Linked DNA regions of Macaca mulatta. The protein of the gene in region 3 interacts with the protein of the main gene of each other region in a pairwise test. Links are inferred from orthologs where the notes say so. Each region holds a gene or a part of one and is shown on either strand. Other genes may lie near its edges.

Evidence for each region. The genes of interacting proteins can lie anywhere in the genome.
Region 1: the proteins of PEG10 (region 3) and EXOSC5 interact in binary tests that used the Homo sapiens proteins (3 or more experiments, as listed by UniProt). The link is inferred for Macaca mulatta from reciprocal best matches to the Homo sapiens genes PEG10 and EXOSC5.
Region 2: the proteins of PEG10 (region 3) and LNX2 interact in binary tests that used the Homo sapiens proteins (3 or more experiments, as listed by UniProt). The link is inferred for Macaca mulatta from reciprocal best matches to the Homo sapiens genes PEG10 and LNX2.

The regions. Positions count from the first base shown.
Region 1 is NC_133424.1:52,541,505-52,545,253, forward strand, and holds the start of EXOSC5 (exosome complex component RRP46), read right to left. Parts: upstream 2,458-3,749; 5' UTR 2,393-2,457; coding exon 2,245-2,392; intron 1-2,244. Other genes in the region: BCKDHA (2-oxoisovalerate dehydrogenase subunit alpha, mitochondrial), read left to right, coding at 2,890-2,997. UniProt on the Homo sapiens protein: Non-catalytic component of the RNA exosome complex which has 3'->5' exoribonuclease activity and participates in a multitude of cellular RNA processing and degradation events.
Region 2 is NC_133422.1:7,657,647-7,661,395, forward strand, and holds the start of LNX2 (ligand of Numb protein X 2), read right to left. Parts: upstream 2,507-3,749; 5' UTR 2,336-2,506; exon of another isoform or gene 1-2,335.
Region 3 is NC_133408.1:124,716,233-124,719,981, forward strand, and holds the start of PEG10 (retrotransposon-derived protein PEG10), read right to left. Parts: upstream 2,588-3,749; 5' UTR 2,467-2,587; coding exon 1,387-2,466; coding exon of another isoform or gene 239-1,386; 3' UTR 1-238.

The sequences.
Region 1 (3,749 bases), on a different chromosome or scaffold from region 3:
TGTGGTCCTGGCTACTCGGGAGGCTGAGGCAGAAGAATCGCTGGAACCTGGGAGGTGGAGGTTGCAGTGAGCCACGATCGCTTCACTGCACTCTAGCCTGGGTGACAGGGCGAGACTCTGTGTCAAAAAAAAAAAAAGAATTACTGACCTCAGGTGATCTACCCTCATCGGCCTCCCAAGGTGCTTGGATTACCGGTGTGAGCAACCCATGTGAGCAACTGCGCCCGGCCCCTTCTTAATTCTTAGGTTCGAAGAAACTTGAGGTATCTCAATTCAGCATAAGTGCTAAGCCTGAGGGAGGGTCCGGGAAGGTCCCTGGTTAAGGCGGTATTTCCTGGGATGCCCAATTTGCCCTTACACGGAAGGTGTGCTTAGTTCCAGGAAAAACTGCCCTGAGGACTGGAGAAACCAAAATAGAACTCGCCTCTGGCTCCAGATGAACTGCCTGTGTTTCGCCTGAGCACAAGAGTCCCTCCCCTCTCACCTTCTTCAAGACGTGGCTCCAGCAATTCTCTCCCCTGTTGACCCCACAACCATCTTCAATTCCTGCCCCACTTATCTGATCCTCTTACAGCAAAACTCCTGAACAGCTGTCTATTCTTCCTTTCCTGTGACCCCACCACTCCACTGCGGCAGCTCAACATCGTCACCACTGACCTCCAAATGATCAACCCTCCATTGACCCGGCTGTCAGTAAGGCCGAAACAGCTGTCAGCCCTCACATCTCAGACACGCTCTTCTCTTGGCCCCAGGTCACCACCCTCTCCCGGTTTCCCCCTAAGTCTCTGGGCGTTCCTTCTGAGTCTCCTTTAGCTTGCTTGTCACAAGTCCCTGACTGCTCAAGTTGGAAGGCCTAGGGCTTGGTCCTGGGACCTCTTTTCCATCTACACTGACTTCGTTCAGTCAATAGGCTGAAATACCATATATACAGCCAGAGAGTTCCAAATTGCCTATGTCCAGCTTGGGTCTCTCTCCTGATTTCCAGACTTGTACAGATCTGGGCAGAAACCTTAGTTATGCCTGACTCTTTTTCCTCGCACTCAAACCAAACTATAGGTAAGTTTTGTCCGTTTTACTTTCAAACTACATCCAGAATCTCATCACCTCCACTACTCCTGTTCTGGCTGGAGCCACCATCACCTCCCTGTTTTCCCCCATACTCCCCACAATCAACACAGCAGCCAGATTTTGTTAAAATGTATTGGGGCTGGGCGTGGTGGCTGGTACCTATATGAGCACTTTGGGAGGAGGACTGCTTGAGTCCAGGAGTTCAAGACCAACCTGGGCAACATCGTGAGACCCTGTCTCAAAATTTTTTTTTTTTTTTTGAGACATTATCTTGTTTTGTCGTGCACACTGGAGTACAATGGCACAATCTTGGCTCACTGCAACTTCTGCCTCCTGGGTTCAAGAGATTCTCCTGCCTCAGCCTCCCCAGTAGCTGGGATTACAGGCGCCCACCACCATGCCTGGCTAATTTTTGTACTTTTAGTAGAGTCGGGGTTTCGCCATGTTGGCCAGGCTGGTCTCGAACTCCTGACCTCAGGTGATCCACCCGCCTTGGCCTCCCAAAGTGTGGGGATTACAGGCGTGAGCCACTGTGCCCAGCCTCCTGTCTCAAACGTTAAAGAGAAATATTCTTGGAGTTAATCTGGTTCTGAGAGTTATTTAGCTAGGGGAAGGGGATATTTGCCCTATAGGTAAGACTTGCCCTAATCTTAGGGATATTTACTCCTGTGGAGAGATGCAGTGAGGTAGCGGTGGGGATGTATTTTTCAACCCAGGGCAGTGACATTATCTTCAATTTGAGGAGTATTTACGTGGGTGAAAGATCCGCCACAGTCCAGAGTATGCAAATTGACAGGTTTGCGTCAGTCCGGGATGCAAGGACCTAGCGGGCGTGTGTGTGGGGCGGGCGGGGGCGGGGGTGAGGAGGAGGAACCTAGTTAAGGGCGATATTTACCCTGGTGAGGTGATTTTCCCTATTCTGAAATATCAATTCTTGCGGGGACGGTCTGCCCCGCCTGTCATTCTCAGACATATTTACAAAGATGGAGCTATCTTCTCCTTTCTAGTCGTGAGGGAGAGATGTATGTATCCCTGCGTATGTAGTAGTATTCAATCGGACAAGAAATCATGTATCAACGCAGGAGTGACATTTACCAGCTGGTATCATGGGGAGATGGGCACTCCGTTGCACGGTACATGGTAGTCCCTCTCCAAAAGACCTGGGTAAGTTCTTACCTTGCAGGAAGGAAGCAGAGCCATCTGGCCGCGACAGCAGGTTCTGTTCGCAGGCAAAGTGCCGGAGGCTGCAGCCGGGACCCCGAGGGCTGCACCCTGTTCCAATTTCAGCGCGGATTTTGGCGTCAGTATGCATCTCCTCCTCCATCGCGCCGACCCCACGTGCGGCTGCGATTATCACTTCCGCCCGGCAGCGCGCGCTGCGAACACTCTGCGTAACCATTGCGCACGCGCTGGGCTCGGCCGTCAGTCCTGGCGTCCGCACGTGGCTTAGCGTTTACCAACAATCTGGCTCCGCCCAGTCCCACCTCCTAACTCTGGCAACGCCATTGGACAGTTGAGAACAGGAGGCAGGCCTTGGCAGTGACCTGTTTTACTCTGGGCCCCCGGGCCCTAAATCCCTGAGGCCGTGGTCAGGTTGCCCTCTTCTTTGCCTGTTACAGGAGTAACTACAATGAGGCGACTGGGGAAAATTTTGGGTAGATAGGTTTTCTTCTCCAAATCTCTGTGCATTCTATCTACAACAGAATGGGAAGAAGGTGATTTTCTTGTCAGATGGTGCTGGAGTTTGTGTCAGGCACATAAAGGGGCAGCCCCGAATCTAGCCTACGTGAGTGCCCTACCGCTGAGTGGTTGCTAGCCAAGATGGCGGTAGCGATCGCTGCGGCGAGGGTCTGGCGGCCAAACCGAGGCCTGAGCCAGGCTGCCCTCTTGCTGCTGTGGCGGCCTGGGGCTCGGGGACTGGCTAGATCTGTGAGTACCTGGGCCCCAGGGGGTTTTCCCAAAGGGGATTAGGGATGTAAAGGCTATCTTCAGAGTGTGGGGTCCCTGAAGGATATGAAGGAAGGGCTGTCACAGAAGGGAAAAAGAGTGGGAGACCCCTTGGAGAAGACACCGAAGGGAAGATCTGCCACTTCCTTAGAAGAAAAGAACTTCCACTTCTTCAGGAGAGGACAAAACCCGTTTGCAACTTCTTTGTGGGCCCTGAGGAAGGGAGACGACTTGAAGAGAGGGATGGGAGTTCCTTATTTATTTATTTAGTTAGTTTTTGAGGCGGAGTCTGGAGTGCAGTGGCCGGATCTCAGCTCACTGCAAGCTCTGCCTCCCGGATTCACGCCGTTCTCCTGCCTCAGCCTCCCGAGTAGCTGGGACTACAGGCGCCCGCCGCCACCCCCGGCTAATTTTTTTTTTTTGCATTTTTAGTAGAGACGGGGTTTCACTGTGTTAGCCAGGATGGTCTCGATCTCCTGACCTCGTGATCCGCCCACCTCGGCCTCCCAAAGTGCTGGAATTACAGGCGTGAGCCAGCGCGCCCGGCCGGGGGTTCCTTATTAACTGCCACTCGTATTCAGGGGAGGTTCCTTGGAGGGACAGGGGAAGACCGCGAGACCTTTTCCCTCAGGCTTTGGAGAATGAAACTGACTTTATAAAGGAGAGACTTTCTTCTGGGCAAAGATCCCTCTTCAAGAAGAAGAAAGAAGAGAGCAAGTCCCCTTATCGCAGGC
Region 2 (3,749 bases), on a different chromosome or scaffold from region 3:
AATTCTAAGGGTAAGTAATAGAATTAGAATTTGACCCGTTTTAATTCCACAGCCAGCTTACCCAGTACATGTCAATCAATGCCTGAAATCAAACAACCCAGGATTCATCCTTCCCCTCCTTAAGCCTATCTAGTCACTTACCTGGTCCAGCCTCCTAGTCATACGCGTTAAATGCCATGTCGTTTCTCCTTCCACTGCCAGCACACTAGCATTTACTAAGTCCTTACTATGTGGCAATCACTATTCTAAGTAATATACATGTTTTTTCAAGTTCTATCCCCCAAACTCTGAGATGAAAAACCTAAGGAACAAAGAGGTTTCAGTGTATGACAGAGCCTGATTCCACCCCAGGTAATCTGAATAGAGAATCCCTGAGCACTTAACCCCTCCATTATAACAGCCTCCAACTTAGTCTCAATACCGCCCATCTGGAAGCCCACCATCCTCCAGATGCTGCAGATATCTTTCTGGAACGCGAATGTTATCATGACATTCTCCTGCTTAAAATTAGCAGCTCAGTATCACTGACTGGATAAAGTCCAAATTTCTTAATCTGGTATACAAAATCCTTCATTTTTCTGTTCAAGTCAATTCAGTAAATATTTTAGTGACCAATGTAAGCAAGAAAAGGTGCCAAGTGCTCTGAAATGAATACCATACATGTCCCTGACTACTACTTCCACCTTGGACACTGGGTCCTTCGGCCAGACAAGCCCATATGCAAAGCTCATAATACAACAGCCCAAAGATACATGCATTTATTTTTAAGTGGCCTGCGTGCTCCGTGCCTACAATGTACGATATCCCAAATCAATCTGAAGGCTAGGTGCCTACGTAACACCTATTCTTACAGGTCTCCAGGCAGAAATGCTCCCTAAGTTCAAATTACTTCAGGGTAACTAGCGGGATAAAAGCATGGATCAGTTTCCAAATGAGAAAACTTCTGGGCAAGAACTAACCCCTGCCATCAATGGCTGGCATGCAGTAGGTACTTTATCAGTGGCTAAATGAATAAATAATGAAAAAATGTCAAAGCTGATGAGAAGACGAGAGAAACAAGATATATGGAGAATGTAACACACAAGTGGGCCGAATTAAAAGTAATGTTATTCTACTTTGGTTCTCATTTGGCCTACTTTTACCCCATGGGAAAACTCACATGTGGGACTTGGACAAGCTTAAAAAGCCAAAACTTTGTTATTCATGGCTCAACAAAGCTTTGACAAGCCAAAAAGGATACCAGATTCCCGCTTCCTTCTTTACCTGCCAAAGTCCATTTTCTAAAGAGGTGTGGGGGTGGGAATCAAATCTAGCAAAGTAAATAAAATTGATCTACTGAGATCCAACTTCATCAGTGCTGCATCGAAGTACATGCAAAAGAAATATCAAAATCTGTCCTGGGAAGAAGGCCAATTTACAAGTAAGTACTATTGCCGCAAGAATGTGAAATTCTTAAAGGCAGTTCCAATAAGCTGGAGCTCACAAGTGTTCCTCCTCCTGCACCGCCACCGCTCTTCACTCAACTTTGTTTCTGATTTCTGTGATTTTAAAAAGGATAATAAATACAGCAAAGTCCATGCATAAGTGTACTTTAGCTCCTGGCACAAACGAACGTCTGGATTCATAAACTCAACGTAAACTGAAATACTAGAAGAAACACTACATGAGTCAAAAGTCCTTGTTTAAAACGTGGCATAAAGCTTTGAAAAGCGAGTGATGTATTTCCTGAACGATGCTTTGTGTGCAACTGGTTCCAAATCAAGATTCGCATTTTTAAATTACCCACTGGAATATGTCAAATCTATCTCCCACCCTCTCCAGCCTAAAGAGAAAGGTGAGAATTCACAGGCAACAGGCTAGGGCGGAGGGAACGATCTCTCCCTATCCCTTTGCAGAGGAACAAAATCCGACAAAGGCAGCTAGTGCCACTCGCATTGCCGACACCACACACACACACACAGGAAATTTAAACACTCACCCCACCTCTCCCTTCCCTTAAGAAGCAAACGACGCCAAGATCTGCACCGCGGTGGCCGGAACCAGCAAATGCTAACAGCCGGAGGCCGCCCGCCTCCAGGGCTCCTACAGGCGGCGGGCACCGGGCGCCGACTCTCCCTCCCCGACCAGCCCCACACCGGAGTCCACGCCAGCCCCGCAGCCCGGGCGAGCAAAGACAGCCGCGGACGACCAAAGCTCCGGGGCGAGCAGCGGCGCCGCTCCGGCCGCCTCCCGGGGCGCGGCGCTCCTCCACACCCAGCCGACGCCCGCACCTGAGGCGGCTGCCCGCAGCCGGGGAGAGGGCGCGCAGCGAGGCGGGCAGGACAAAGTTACTCACTGGGAAAGCGCGGCTGCCCGGGCCGCGCACGGCCACCAGCTCCCGCTCTCCGCGGCCCGCTGAGGGAGCGGAGAGCCTGCCCGGCTCCGCTCCGCCGAGAATTGCCGCCGCCGCCACCGCGGATTTCCTGGCAAGAAGCAAACTCCGGCCAAGACTTCACTTCTCAACCGCCCCTGCTGCCTTCCCGGGGGCCAGCGCTAAGGCCGAGCGGCCCAACCCGCAGCCGGGCCAATCGGAGGTAGCACAGGGCGGGAGGTGGGCGGACCAGAGGGCGGCTCCACCTATCCGAGAGCTCGGGAGGCGGGCCAGAATTGGCCCGTCACTCCTGGGTTAGAGTGAGACCACTCCGCCCTCGCCGCCCGCCTCCCCCACCCGCCCCGGGCTGTCCCCGCCGCCCGCCTGATTCCCCTGCGGAAGCCCCGGGGGCTAGGTGCCTGTGCGCACCCCGGGCCGCTGCCAGGAGTGGCACTGCTCGGGAAGGAGTGAACATCCAGAGGAATCGCGGGGCGGGGTGGGGGGAGGCTAGGAGAACAGGTGGCGCAGGGAAGCAGAAACGTAGTTGCGCAGGACAGCTGGACAGCTGGAGTGGGGCAGGGTCGGGGCCGGCGGCTAGGGGAGAAGGGCCTATTCGAGAGGAAGCGCACCTGAGGGAGCGTGGCCGGGGCCGGGACAGGGAGCTGGGCGGAGAGCGAGTCTGGGTGGCGAAGGTTGCCGAGGCGGGGGCTGGGCACCTGGGAACAAAGGTGAGGGCGGGTTCCGCAGGTGAAGAGGTTTGAAGAGCCACAGCGGGTAAAGGGAAAGGAAGTCCACAGCCGGAGAGGACGCGCTCTGGGGGATAGAAGGAATCCTAGGACGGAAAGGATGAGGTGGGAAACAGTTTTTTCCCAAACTCTCACTCCCCCAAAAGAGAAAGACATTTCTTTCTTGCCCTTTATTTGACCCAGTTGAGAATGCAACTGCAAGGTCCCCGGTGAGACAAATACCGCCTTCAACCCTCGTATTCTGTCGTGACTCATCTTGCACGTGACCTCCTCCCTCTTCAAGGTGTGTTGACCGACTAGAGCCTAAGCCTGTCGTCCCACAGAAGGCCCAGGAGGCCGGGGTCCCAGGAAGGGCCATCCTGGGTCAACACCGCCCCAGTGGGGGAGTCGGGCCTCTTTCGCCCTTGCCACTGGGAAGGGAAGTGATTTGGGGGCGGCAGGTAAAGCCCCGCTCCTTCACCATCACCTGGGGAAAGGTACCAAGGTTGAGCTGGCGCGCCCGCAGGCCTGTCTGGGCCTCGGGGTAAAGCGGCGCTGGCCCCACCCCCTGCCCCTCCCGCCGTGAGTGGCCTCGCCTGGTCGCCCAGGTGAGCCGCCGGGCCGCGAGCCACCGCCCACCCCGCGTCGGGGCGGAGCCTGGGGGCGGAGCCTGA
Region 3 (3,749 bases):
ATGAGAGCTAATTTATTGGCAAATACTCTGTTGCTCTCAGAAAATGTTGAAGGTCTTTTGGTGCTTTAGGATGTGTGCCAGTCCAGGGTGGCCCTGACCTTCTACAGCCGTTTCAGAGAGGATGTGCCTCAGGTGGCCTGAAGATACAGTAGCCTAAAACTTAGCACACAGTCACTGATTGAGAAGCTGAACAGGAATAAATTTTGAGGGCAGAGATCCTGAAGGACACGACAAGTATTTACAGGGTACTGTAAGATGGAGGCGGCGGCGGCGGCGGTGGTGGAGGCGGCGGCTGTGGCGGCGGGTACTGTGGTACCGGAGGCTGGCGGTACCAGTGTGGATTCCAAGTGATCATAACAGGTACATATAGTGATCTTCCTTGTCCGTCTCTTCCCACTGGGTACCAGGCGAATCCTACTGGGTAGGTCGGGTATGCGGCATACGTGGGGTACGTTTGGTATCCAGGTATTTGAGGTACGAATTCAGTGTACGTTGCCAGGTGCGCTTGGTCTTCTAAATTTGGAATAGATAGGCGAGGATACTGATTCTGGATAGTAAAATTGTTTGGAGCTCGGCAATCGTAAGAAACTTGCAGTTTCCACCCCCTCTTCACCTGGAGAACTTGGGCTCCATTAGGTGCGATCGTTGGAGTAATCAGCCCATCTTTCACATTTCTTGCCACAAAATCTCGAAGAGCTGCCATTTCAGGTTCAGACAGTGAGTACACATGTCCGCTGGGAATACTGTGTGCTCCAGGTATCATTTCTATGTGAGGGTCAACCAGGCGGTGATCTGGGTAGACGTGCTCATCTACTGGAGTGTACACATTCTGGACATAGTAATATCTCACTGGTTGGTAAACTCTGTATCCATCTACTGGATAATAGAGTGGCGGTTGTTGTGCTGGTGGTGGGAGCGATGGTGGTATTGGAGAATACATCCGGCAGTGGTAGCGGCAGTATTCAGAATCAAAGACAATAGATCGAGTGCTCCATGTGATGTTGGGATCATGTGTGCTCAGCCAGCGAACCCCTAGGACGACAGGGAAGAATGGAGACTGAGTCACATCAAATGACAGCACTTCACGGTGATCTCCCAGGTCAACTATCAGGTCGTGAGTTTCGTGGACAACTGGGCCCGATGCTATGGGGCGCCCATCAATTGCTTCCACAAGTATTGGCCAGTCCTTGATTCTTAGAGGAATTCCATTTTGAGCAACGTATTCGTGATCAATGAAGTTGCCAGAAGCACCAGAATCGATCATGGCTCGGACGAACAGGGTGTGTCTGCCCGGAAGATGAATCTGGAGCATCACTTGCAAGTGTGGAGATGAGGCGTCATCTTGTGGGGACCTTATTATTTCTGGCCCGGTCGCTGAAGGTCCCTCTACAGCGGGGCCGGGGAGTTTCCCGCCGGCGAAGACTTCGAGGCCTTGGCAGGACAGTTGTCAGCGTAGTGACCTCCTGTTCCACAGTAGAGGCACAGGTTCAGCTTTCTGCGTCTTTCTTTTTCCTCCTGGGTCAGGCGCATGCGGGCACCTCCCACCGGCTCGGTTGGATCTACCTGGTGGTGGCTTGCAACGTGAGGCAACACCAGCGCCCGGGGTGGTGAGCGTGGCTTGCGAGCTGCAGCAGCCCTGGCCAGCCTTCTCTCAATGTGAATGCACTGCCCAATCAGAGCAGACAGCGACTTGGCGACCTCGAGGTGGGAGAGCTCCTCCTGAATGTGGTCGCTGAGGCCCTCGTGGTACTGGTCAATCAGCGCAGGCTCGTTCCAATCCAGGTCCTGGGCAATCATCTGGAAAGCATTGGAATAGTCGATGACAGACCCCATGCCTTGGCGCAGGCGTCTGATCTTGCGTTTGGCAGCCTCTCGCCTCTGAGGGTCTTCAAAGACATGCTTCATTTCCATCATGAAAGCTGGGTAGTTGTGCATCAGGTAGTGGGAGCGCTCCAGCTTTGCTGAGGCCCAGCGGGCAGCACGGCCGGTCATCATGCTTGTCACGAAACAGACACGGACACGATCAACTGAGAAATCTCTGGTGCTCTTTTCCATGAAGATCTGGCACTGGGCCATGAAAGGAGCCAGCATGTCTGGGTTGCCATCGAACTTCTCTGGAAGGTCTTCTGGGCACTCTTCCTCTATTGGAGGGGGTGGGGCAGCAGCTGCTGCAGCACCGCGGAGCTCGATGTCATCATCATCATCCTCAGGGGTGGGTTCCACTTGCTCTCGAAGGGTGGTGTTCTCCTCTGTGAGCTTCTGCACCTGGTTCTGCAGGTTGCTGTTCTCCTCGGACTGCTTAATGACCTTCTCTCTTAGGTTGTTGATCTCTTCAGAGAGCTCATCCCTTCTTCGTTCGGTCATGTTGGGGACACACGCGCTCTTATGGCCGGTGTGCTTGGAGTTGTTGTTGTTGTTGTTGTTGGGGGGAGGGGGAGGGGGAGGAGGTGGGCAGTCGGGACCCAGGGTGACGGTTGGGGTGGGAGGAGACCTCCCAGCTGTAGCTTCACTTCTGTGGGGATGGAGGCCTGGATCCTGGCCCCCTCTTCCACTCCTTCTTTTTTTTGTTTTCAAAATCCGCTTATTTCTGTAAATAAAGATAAATGTATAAATCCAACTTATAGATTCAAAGCAGCAAAATGCAGACACAAAGGATTTAGTATTTAAATTATCCCTTGCTCCATGCACTTACTTTAATAATTAGCGAACAAAGAAAACAAACTTTCAAGAGAAAAGTATCAATCAGCACCATAGATAACAAAAAGGAAACTACTTTTTGATGTTCAAATGACCTTGTCTTCCTCAAAGGCCACCTGTTCATTATGATTCAACAATACATCATCAACAGCATGCTTACCTTTATAAACTATAAAAGAATGTTGAAACCCTCTAAACAAGTAGTTTTGTATTGAAACAGAGGAAGAAACTTCAAGGCAAACATAGATACCAAATCAATTATGCAAATTAAAGCCAAAATAATAACTTTTGTTACTAAAGAAGCTAGGCCAAAAATAGTTAATACTACAACTAATAGAAGCTAATTAAAAAAGAGGGGAGTATTAAAATCACAATGCATGTATTCATCAGCCCTGTGGGCGGGAGGAGGGTACTGTGGCCAACTGTCACAACCCTGTTTCACTGCCACAGAGAAGGTCACTGGTTATCAAATCAAACAACCACCACCACAAAAACTACAGGACTGCCTAAATTACTTTTCTGACCATAATTTAAATCCCCAAAGAAAATTCTCTGTGGGACAGAAATGGCACTAAGCAGCAATATGTGTATGTCAGTTTCCCTTGTCATTTATGCAGTCATTCAAGAAATACTAATTGATGCCTCCTAGGAAAAGCTATAAAATGGGGCATTCAAAGAAGCCCAATAATAGTATACCTCAAACTAATTGTGAGGACTTAATTAAATAGTGCAGGTAAATTATGTAGTGAGTATTCAATAATGGTTAGCTGATATTAACAAAGTTATTAATTAGAAAATAGAAAGGTGATTATCTGTGTGAAGAGAGTGGGATTAAAAGAGGGAGGGGCTGCAACTATAGCAACATGGGCATGCATTTCCCACCTAAAGATGTTTACTTTTTTAAAAACACTGTGTTGGTCAAATCCAAGGCCTTATTTGTCTTGCAGGTCACCAGTTTGCAATCCATAGTTTTTAACCAAGATTTGTCAGCATAGCCCCAAATGCAGGTTTGTAATGTTAAGGTGGGACAGGGCTGCATTCCTGCGGGTGAG